Caenorhabditis elegans: one gene and its partner. The protein of the gene in region 1 purifies or fractionates together with the protein of each later gene. This does not show direct contact. Each region holds a gene or a part of one and is shown on either strand. Other genes may lie near its edges.

Region 1 (5,486 bases):
CACTTTTGGAGTTTTTTCTTCCAAATTTACCTCTCCAGTTGGCATTCCATCTTGCATTTTCCATTCTCCCTGTGGAGAGATGCTCATCAAATGATCTCTCAACTCATCAATACCCTCTCCGTTCAACGAAGAAACGAAGAAGACACGTTCGAATCCAGACCATCCACAAATCGTACGGAATAAGGAACGTGTCTCAGAATAACTGCATTTCCACGTGGGTTTCTGAATAAGCTCTCGAAATTGGCTCTGCCATTTCTCATCGGATGGTTTGAAGGAAGATGATGATTGAATATTTGTGGAGAGTGATTTTCCAAGTCGTCCAATTTGAGCAGGCTTTGTAGAAATTTGTTGATTGTCGGATAATTGACCATTAGTGAGAATCTGGAATAGTTTTTTGTAATTTAGAAGTTCAAAATTTTCTCCGAACTTACTTCAACTAAAGGTAATAAATCGGATCTTCTCATAACCAAGTCGATCTTGTTCATCACCAGAATACTTGGAACATGCGAATATCTGTGAAGCATATGAAGAACACGATGATGAATGTATGCTCCAGGTGCTGTCGAGTCTTGCACAACGAGCACGTGTTGAGCTCGTTGGAGGGCTCGCTCCGGATCCTGAAGCACACGATCTCCACTTGTTGCACTAGTTTTCTTCATGGTTTGGCGGACATGGGACGTACTAACAGCTCCAGGAGAATCGACAAACACGAGTTGAGTGGAGTCGCTGCAGATTGAAGCAGAGATGTTCTGAAAATAAATATTTTTATGAAGTTTGTACAAGAAATTTGAGAAATTAAAAATGAAAATCTTACCCTTGTCGTGGTGTCCATTTTACTGCTAACTGCTGATAAAGGACACCTGATTAGTGAATTCGTTAGAAGTGATTTTCCAACATTTGGAGCTCCGATAACTGCAAGTTGAAGACATTTTGTTGCTGGTTGTATTGGGGTTTTCTGAAAAATAAAATAAAATTATCAATCTTAAAATAAGAAAAGTAATACCTCATAGCTCGTAGAAGTTGAAGCCGTCGAGAAAAGTCTACACGAAAAGTTTAGCCGTTTTATAATCATCTGAAACTTTTCTTGAGTGAATTGAATTTTTTACGGAATTTTCAGTAACAAAAAAAATAAAAAGGTATGTCCAGCCTTAAAAGGTGTAATATAAACACAAGATATCAACGTATTTTTTTAATCAAAATTTTTGATGGCGCGAAATTCAACAAAACAAAGAACAAATGGATAACAGTAAAACAAATAAAGATGATTGTGATATTCAAGACAAAAAGTGAATATCTGCCTTGTTGAAAGCGAGAAGAAGTGCCAAAAAATCCTCAACTCTCATTTTTCGAGCGCGGCTTTCTCCATATCCCGAAGCTGTTAATGTCTCTTCAATAACCTTTTTCATGTTAAGATCCTTTGGAATTGGCTGAAAAATTTTGATTATTGGAATGAATTTGTTTAAGTATTAAAATACTTACTTTGTTTTTGAAACTGCATACTTTTCTGAAATTATCCTCGATAACCTCAATAACATTAGAAAGTCGGAAAATAGCCATCAGTGTCTTGTTTTTTCGCATGAAGCACAAACGAAGAAGTCCTTCCCATTCCTACAAAAGATAATTTTTCAATTATAAATTTCCATTTTAATAATCTACTCACGACAAAATTCACTGGCGGTGGTGGATTCTTGGGAGCGATTCTGACGACTGCTGAATCAACTTTTGGCGGTGGTCTGAATTCGGTTCTCTTCACTTTCATCAGCATCTCAACTTTAGCCAATAGCTGAACATTAACAGAAAGTCTACTGTAATCTTTATCTCCCGGTCGAGCAACTAGCCGGTCAGCAAACTCTTTTTGGAACATGAGAACTGCGTATCTGAAATTATTATATAATTTTCAAAATTACTGGTTGATGAGGTTAGATTAGTGATACCTTGGAAGTGGTCTATGTAATAACAATTTTTGCACAAAAGGAGATGAGATTTGATATGGAAGATTGGCAACACAAACGTCAAAGAATGGCCATTCCATTTTCATTACATCTCCTCCATTAACTTGTAATTTGTTTTGTAGAGGTCTGAAATATATTTATTTTAAATTCGAAAATATTTTTCAAAAAATACGTACGTTCCCATAACTCTTTTCTTGACTTCAGCAATCATTCTAGGATCGATTTCACATGCAATTACAGTTTTTGCCACCTCCAGCATTTTAACCGTCAAGTTTCCTGTTCCTGGTCCGACTTCAAGCACTGTATCGGTGGCTTTAAGAGCTGATTTCTCAACGATTGCATTCACAACTCCAGGATTTTTGAGAATATGTTGTCCTTTGTCGGTGTTAAATGGAAGTGCTATAAAATCAATGTTATGAATAGAAATTTTGCAAAAATAACATACATTGAACATTTCCAGTTGATGATCCTGCTTTCGTCTTTTTAACTTTACTCGTTTTTCCCATTTTGAGTTTTTTTAAATCTGAAAATGAACGAAAAATAATAGTATTTCTGAAAATAGGAAAATAATGAAAAGAAATAAAGGTAGAATGATTTGTCCACGTGAAGTACAAAACGTGGGACTAAAAAACAATTCTAGTCCGCGCGTCGTGTACTCCTCTCAGACAAACAGAAGTTGCACAATTTTTTGAAATCGATCCCTTTTAATCACTTTTTCCTATTCTTCTAGCGTTTAATTATTTTCTATTGATTTTATTTACACAATGGGGTCAAAAAGAGTATGCCCAGATGCAAATAATTCTGTAAAGTGTAAGTTTTAGGCCTGGGCTGAATATTAAATCTGAAAATAATACTTTTCAGCAAAAAAAGCAAAAACCCTGGATTTTCTCGCTCATCCTCGACGGAAGATTGCAATTCAGTTTTTCTATTTGGGCTGGGAGCATGATGGGCTTGTTCAACAACCGCATACACAAAATACGGTGGAAAATGTAAGAATTCTAAAATACTTTATTTAAATAAATTAAAAATGTTTCAGCATATCATGCAGGCACTAATAAAAACTCATTTAATTGAGGACTGGACGAAATGTGATTTTTCGCGTTGTGGACGGACCGATAAAGGAGTTTCCGCATTTAAACAAACTGCTGCAATGGTTGTTAGGTTTAAAATTTTTTTACTGAACTCGTTCTCATTTCAATTTTCAGATCTCTGTGTCCCGGTGACTCAGGAGTGTTTTGGTCAGATTCTACGCAAGAGCATCAAAAAGTGGACTATAAAGCTAGTGGAGAAGAGCTTCCCTATGTAAAAATGCTCAATGGAGTTCTTCCGAAAACCATCAGAGTCTTCGCCTGGGCTCCTGTCGCGCAAACGTTCAATGCCAGATTCGATTGTAATAGAAGAACATATAAATATTCTTTTGCTAAAGCTGACCTTAACTTAGAGGTTGGTGTATTTTCATTATATTTTTATCTTCAAATTATTATTTATTTAGAAAATGCGTCAGGGCGCGGAGCTATTGGTCGGTGAGCACGATTTTTCGAATTTCTGCCAAATCGATATGAACGAGAAAAGACTGCTGCAGTCTTATGTTAGAAAAGTCTATGAAGTCAAGGTAGAACAAGTATCGACTCATCCAGAAAATGGTATTGTTTATTTATTCAGAGAGTTTAGTTTTGACAAGTAAAACTTTAGATATGTATTCAATGGTGGAGCTCACTGTATCTGGAAGTGGTTTCCTTTGGCATATGATTCGATACATAGTCACGATCCTTCAAGAAATTGGAAGAGAAAATGAACAACCATCATTAATCTCACAGCTTCTTGACCTGAAAAAATATCCGAGCCGGCCGCAGTACACCTTAGCCTCGGACACTCCTCTATGCTTATTCGATTGTGGATATAAATCTGAAGATGTTGAATGGAAAGTTCATGACTATACACTGAAAAGTACAGTGACCGGACTACAAAAAACCTGGGCGACGTATCAGGCGAGAAGTCGAATGATGGAAAATATGCTCGGAGAACTGACTGGAATGGCTGAATTCAGTTCAGGAGATGCCAATAAAGGACTTCACGAATTTGTACAAGATCGTCCGATACCTTCAAATTACATAAGGTTTGAGAATAGGAAAATGTGTGAAAGCCTGGAGAGCAAGAAAGAGAAAATGGCAGAAAAGAAGAAAAATGGAGAAGAATCTTCGGATAAACTATGAGAGTTTAATTGTTTTTTAAGTTATTAATACGGTTTTGTTGTTGATTTTTTTGTTTTTAAAAATATATGTTTCTGTTTTTTGATCAATTTTTTCCTTTTTGTTTGATTTATTGGTTTCTGAAATCCAAATTTATTTCTGAAAATTGTAAGAAGTTGTCTTTATAATCGAATTTCCATTTCCAGCTAGACAGAAATGTCTATAATCAACGACGAAAATGGAAGAGGCTATAAAGTACATCTTTGCAAGACGAATATTGCACAGAACAACAATAAATTTTACGATATGGAATTGTTGGATGAGGGAGGTGATTTCATTGTGAAGCTTATCAATGGACGTATTGGATATCGTGGTGTCACACAATTAAAAGATTTCGATGACCTCGACAGAGCCAAGAAGTTCTTCGAAAGCAAATTCTACGAGAAAACTCATCTTCATTGGGAAGAAAGAGACGATGAACCGGTTCCCAATAAATATGCAGTCGTTGAGTTGGCTACTAACGCAAGACAGACTGAAAAAGAAGTTAAAAAGGAGGAACCGGAACCTGAGCCGAAAGTTGATGAGAAAAATACACGTGGAAGGAAGAAAAGAGGAATTGTTAAAGAAAAGAAAGAAATCAAGAAAGAAGAGGAACCAGTTGAAGAAGTTAATGAAAAGCTGAAGGAATTGATGAAATGCATCTGCGACGAAGATGTTCATCTGGGACTCTTGAAACAACTGAAATTTAACGAAGCTTTTGGAAGACCAATTGGTGAGTTTTAAAAAATCGTATTAAAAAATTAGAGAAAAATTCAGATTGCCTCTCACTTGCCCAACTCACCACTGGATATGAAATTTTGAGTAAGATTGAGGAATCGATTGGAGGAAAATCAGGTATTTTATGAAATTTTGTAAATTTGAAGTTTTAAGTTGAAAAATCTAAATTTAGGCCATTATCTTCCCTGAAAAATGGAAATTCTTTTAGCTCGAAGATCTACTCGTGGCCGGCCACGAGTAGCTGACCGTGTTCTTGCTGTTAAATCCGATGGTCCATCTCTTCACGACATCAACAAATATTATTCTCTCATCCCTCATTCATTTGGTTTCTGTGTTCCTCCAAAAATTGATTCTCATGCTAAAATTCAAGCTGAACGAGAGCTTCTGGATGCACTGAAAGGATCAATTGAAGCATCACTGGAACTGAAGGATTTGAAAAAGACAGCATCGTCGAAGGATATTTATCAAAGACTTTATGAGCGCCTCCCGTGCCATTTGGAGCCAGTTTCGGAAGAAATTGCAGGAAAAATTGGAGACTGCTTGGCTATGCGTGGACCCACTCATTGTT
Region 2 (5,321 bases), on another chromosome or scaffold:
TGGGGATATTTTGAAAATTCAAAACGTTAATCGCACCCTGTATATATAATCCATCATATAGATCAATTTTCATGTAACCTATCGTATCGAATTAGCAGCTAAGCAACTAAGCCTAAGGACCTAGGTCTGGTGACCATGCTTTACTTCGGTTTTTTAAAGTATTCATCTTTGTTCTTTTTAATATTGTATCGTATATTTTTTTAATTTTTAACTTACACATAGACTGCGATGCGTTCTTGAAGGGATATTCTGTGCTTGATTGGAAGAAGAGTTATTACAGTATCTAACACTGTCCACGAATTCCAGAAATTAATTTTTTGCCTTATTTTATCATCTTTTTAAGTACTTCTTGTTTTAAAATATTAGATTGCTGGCCTCGATCTCCATCGGGTTGTTGCAAAAACCTCGTATCTCTGAACTCGTGACTTTTACATTTGTTTATCATAAACTCCGAAACCTACCTTCCGTATACTCCCTGGATAATTAAAACCCCACCAAATATCACTATAGATGCATTACTTTCATAATTTTCACACATGATCTCGACGATAATGTGGTCAAGCTACACAAAAACATTTCGATTGGGTTAGTTATTTAGTGGGACCGTTATCTTTGTTGCGTTTACGGAACGAAAATACGGTACCCGGTCTCGACACGATCGAACAATTTTAAATTAAAACGATTGTGCGCCTTTAAGGTGTACAGTAGTTTTCCCACTTCGCTATTTCCCAATTTTTAGATTTTTCTCGTTTTCTATTTCAAAACGTCTAACTTCTGTTATTCACATTAAATAGCAAGTGTTTAAATTTTAAAAAAAAGTCGAAGAAAAGTACTGTACACTTTAAAGGCGCACACTCTTTTTCATTTAAAATAATTCGGTCGTGTCGAGATCATTTATTTCACAGAGATATGAAAAATATTGCTTCGGGGAGCCAATTATGAAATTGAATGGGAGAATCAAAGTGAAAGTATGAACACAACAAGAAATTCAATTGAAGTGAAAATGGATTACTGTAAATTATTGAAATATCGTGTGAATTTGTAATTTTCTTGAATTTTTGTTTCTCATTGATTCAACAGTTTTAAGGTCGACAACGCGTATTTACTGATAAAAGCCTTGCTACCCAATGATCGCGTGTAAATTTTATGAATAAGACTTAAATATATGATAATGAATTTATATAAATAAAACAAAAACAGAACATTAACAGTTACTTAATTAAAGGAGAAACCAGTAAACGAGGCAATAGAGGGGATGTAAGACGATTTTACAAAAAGTTTAAATTTCAGGATTTTAATTAACACACAAAAGGAGGACTAGAATTTTGAAAATATTCACATTGATAATATTTATTTTCTGCCCACAGTCCGGCGAATTGGGGAGGCCAAGAATCCGGCTGGATAGAGCATGCGGTAGGTCACAAACCAGCAAACGACAGCGGCCACAGCTCCGAGAATCTGAAAAATAGGGAAATTGAGTAATTAAATTTTTGAAGAATACAAATTGTTATTCTGAGATGCAAAATATGATTACCTCTTCAATGAAGATATGATAATAAAGAACGGAGATGATAATTTGCTTGAACCAGAATGCATGAAGGAACAACATTGCGACGAAGAAATATTGAATGCATCGAGTCAAACGATCATGTTCTTCACGATCACCGTCCATTTGATGAACTGCATCAGTTACTTGTTGATAATGACGGTAAGCAATCGCCTGTAAACATTCCCATATTGTTTTCTGAAACCTTTTTTTCTTTATACCTCCTCAGTGATAATCAGAATACTGTAGATCATCAAGAAGCAGTGACCTGAAATATCATATCCTGGCGTCCAGACACCTTCTTTTTCGGAACACTGAGCACGAGTCAGAGTACGTCCTTTGTCACACATTGAGGTTAGTGCAAGAACTTTGTGGAAACTGAAAACTTTTTCGTTTAAGTAAGAATTATTGCATAAAGCTTACAATTGCACAGAAAAGTACCAACACGCGGTTCCCACTCCAAGACGGCACACATCAACGATTGGTTGATCACGATCACGACGATTGTGAGCTTTTGAAGAGAACCTGCAAACTTTATGGTTTTCGAAACAAAAATATTTGCATATTATAACAAAATACTAGATTCTGATTAACTTCTGCAAGAAAAGAGAGAAACATTAACTTATCCCTCACATCAGTGTCATTAAAATTCAAGAATACTTACCAAATAAATGGACCAACGATGACAAGTGTCCAAAACCATCCCATTTTTACTCCATATTGATTCAGAACACTGTGCTTTTGGACCAAATAATACGTGGAATCTAGTTCAATACGGGACTCGATGAAAGAGAGCACAGTCACAAAAGCCAGATAGAAGAGGGCAACTTTTCGAGCATCGATGAACAGAATTTGACGAGCGATCTGCAATATTGAAATTTTATATTTAAAACGATTAAACTTTCTCGTTTAAATTTTATTTTGAAGAATATATACTTACAGCAACGAAAATCCCGAGTGCAGCATTCGGCGTGCTATTTGGGGAAGCTGGTCGCTTTGTTGTGGAGTCTCTGAAAAATCAACTCATTTTGTCAAAAACAATTATAGTTCAAACATACGCTCTTGTAGAACTACGCCTTGTTGACATAATTATCTGTAAAATTGATTAATTAATAACCTATGAAAACTGAAAAAGAAGACTATCACACGTCGAATTAATCGGAAAACCCGAGAAAGTGTCAATTAAATGGAGAAAACTAGTCCGGCGGGTTTATTGACGAATATTGCGATTTTTAAAGCACCAATTAGTTTTTATGAGAACATAATAATATTTTTTCTTCATTGAAAACAAAATTGTATTAAAAATATATAACATTTAACAAAGAATTGTGTTGTTAAAATAATTCTCGACGAAAAAAAAAACAAACTGACGGTGGCCTAGAATCCGACAACTCATCAAGTTTCTCTTCCATTTCGTCCTGAAATTTTTTCGAAGAATCTTTCCCTATTTTCTCGGTTTTACTGTTTTTCCTCTGATTGTATTGTATTTATTTCGAAATTTTATTGTTTTTCAGAAAAAATGGCACGTGATGTAAAGAAGAGAGGAAAGCCAGCGTATACAAACCGCAGAAACCGACAAAAATATCTCAAGAAGAAGGATAACAAGAAAAAATTATCGAAAAGTGCAGTGTGAGTTAATTTTTGTCTATTTTTCCATTTAAATAGTGACTTGCAGGCCAATTATCAAATACACATGGGATGAAACTAAGACTCCTCGAGAAAACGTCCGCGACATGGGTATCGCATTTAATCCAAATGACGCGGTTCCAATCGCTGAACACAGAGTAGGTTATCGATTTTTTCAAGGCGTTGTGCATTGACGGAACTTAATTGCGCACTTTGTCTTGCGGAAGTCCAAATTAAATTTCATGCTCATTGATTCATAATTTTGAATTTTCAGAAAGAGATCATCGACGCGGAGCCAATTGACGGTGTCAGTATTGTTGTTCCCAAACCGGAAAAGAAAGTTACTGGAAGAAAAAAGAATGAGAAACAGGTAAAATTTAATCATAGTTGGTAGTAAATAACGCTAAAGTTTTAGTTTCTGAAAAAAGCAGGTCCGATGAATCGGTTTCTAAATATTTAATTCAATTGTTTTAATTCTGTTATTATTTCCAGGCAGCACACATTATCTCAAATCTGGAACAGCAAGTGAAAGAAGAAGAGGAAGCTCGAGCTGGACAAGACCGGAAATTCCGACTTTTCCATAGAGAAACCGAGCTTTGTGTCTACATGCTGGCTCGTCACGGCGAAGATTTTCAAGCAATGACTCGTGATCCGAAGAATTTATGGCAATACACACCGAAGCAGTGGGCGAAGAAGATCCGTACACACAAAGAGTCCGAGATGTGTAAATTCCTCGAAACTGCATAAGACTGTTTTTCAAAATTTTTTGATACTTTTGTTTGAGCTTTTATTGTTATTGTTGATACTGTTATGGGGGACTTTTGTTCCTTTACAAATAAAATCAAAAATTATTAACATTCATTGTGTACATTTCAGATATATTAAGCAGCTCTTCAGAGATTAATATTTGGCATTAATTTTCGGTTTTCTCAAAGATCCAGTGCGCATCTTTCCTCGACAAGCACCATCTCCTTCCAGTTGCCTCTCGAAAATCTCAAAATACATGTCACTCTCCCGGTCCATTTGAGGGCGAAGCTTTCGAATATCAACCTAAAATTTCGAACTTACACAATTTCAAAGAAAAAAAACCAGGATAAACGGGGGATTTTGCTTTAAAAAATCCAAAGTTGTTTTACTATTAAATTCAGAAATAACAAAAAGAAAAACTAAAAAAAATGACGACAGAGTGAAAAATCCAACTTTTAAAAACTTGATTTTGCAATTTTGGCTAAATTCTCTGTTTGAACTTCCTCGGAAATGAAAACTGCGACCAATCATCGATTCGCTTCGCCCACTTTTGAACCAATCAGATGTTCGAAGACGCTGATTGGTTCGAAAATGGGCGTGGCATCTCATTTTGGAGGAAGTTCAAATATGGAGTTTTGCCAAAATTGATATTGCGTGATAAAAAGCTGGATTTTTAATACTTTCGCGATGTTTTTGTTTTTCTTTTGTGGTATTTCTGAATTTGAAACTATTTTGGACTTTTCAAGCGAAAAATACAAAAATTAGTTACCTTACGACTGTCGATTCTCATTCCAAAAGTGGTTCTAGCCTTATTGAACGTGTATTTTCGATAGTTTTCAATTGTGAAAATTGCAGTTGGCACTAGAAATACGGGATTTCTGAAAAAAAGATTTAAAAGTTTTCAAAAGGAAAAAGCAACTTACGAATGAAAAACATAATCCATATAAACACGGACAGTCAGAATGATATCTTCATTTAAATTTAAAATGACTGGAAGTGAATTACCAAGCCCCATTGCTATTATAATTAAAATGATTGAAATGAAAAATCGACGCATTACCTAGAAAAATGTATCATTTCTAGAAATAATCTCGATTTTTCGCTTACCTTCAATGTTTTGAGATTCTCTTTCAATTGATATCTGATACTCAATGTGTAGTTCGTAGTCCGATGATCTCGTTCCAATGTCATCAGCCGTTGCTGATTAAAATACTCAACCAATGCATAAATCTTAATTATTTGAAAATCAACAAAACTTCTTTAGGTTGGAAACTAACCACAGCAGAACAGAATAAAGAAAAGATGACTCCAGAGATAAGAACTTGAAATGTAAGTCCTGAAGTTGTTGTGACCACGGCCATTGTGCACGAGAATATGTTTTGAGCCACGAAAATTAGTCCGA

The links. Proteins that work in one complex are often made in the same cells at the same time.
Region 2: the proteins of E02H1.1 (region 1) and nol-16 fractionate together in Caenorhabditis elegans (co-fractionation; one large-scale study listed by BioGRID). This does not show direct contact.

What each region holds. Positions count from the first base shown.
Region 1 is NC_003280.10:9,588,690-9,594,175, forward strand, and holds E02H1.1 (putative dimethyladenosine transferase), read right to left. Parts: upstream 2,476-5,486; 5' UTR 2,459-2,475; coding exon 2,398-2,458; intron 2,352-2,397; coding exon 2,129-2,351; intron 2,079-2,128; coding exon 1,935-2,078; intron 1,878-1,934; coding exon 1,661-1,877; intron 1,609-1,660; coding exon 1,480-1,608; intron 1,428-1,479; coding exon 1,275-1,427; 3' UTR 1,176-1,274; downstream 1-1,175. Other genes in the region: eral-1 (GTPase Era, mitochondrial), read right to left, coding at 31-381, 432-749, 815-955, 1,004-1,072; putative tRNA pseudouridine synthase tag-124, read left to right, coding at 2,717-2,762, 2,814-2,941, 2,989-3,113, 3,158-3,395, 3,445-3,595, 3,645-4,165; parp-2 (Poly [ADP-ribose] polymerase 2), read left to right, coding at 4,358-4,913, 4,958-5,035, 5,127-5,486. UniProt on the Caenorhabditis elegans protein: Specifically dimethylates two adjacent adenosines in the loop of a conserved hairpin near the 3'-end of 18S rRNA in the 40S particle.
Region 2 is NC_003279.8:8,252,288-8,257,608, forward strand, and holds nol-16 (Nucleolar protein 16), read left to right. Parts: upstream 1-3,060; 5' UTR 3,061-3,065; coding exon 3,066-3,175; intron 3,176-3,221; coding exon 3,222-3,330; intron 3,331-3,446; coding exon 3,447-3,542; intron 3,543-3,664; coding exon 3,665-3,919; 3' UTR 3,920-4,025; downstream 4,026-5,321. Other genes in the region: fitm-2 (Acyl-coenzyme A diphosphatase FITM2), read right to left, coding at 1,351-1,458, 1,535-1,720, 1,768-1,924, 1,970-2,071, 2,211-2,410, 2,487-2,556, 2,605-2,633; sre-23 (Serpentine Receptor, class E (Epsilon)), read right to left, coding at 4,073-4,222, 4,689-4,797, 4,843-4,979, 5,027-5,149, 5,197-5,321.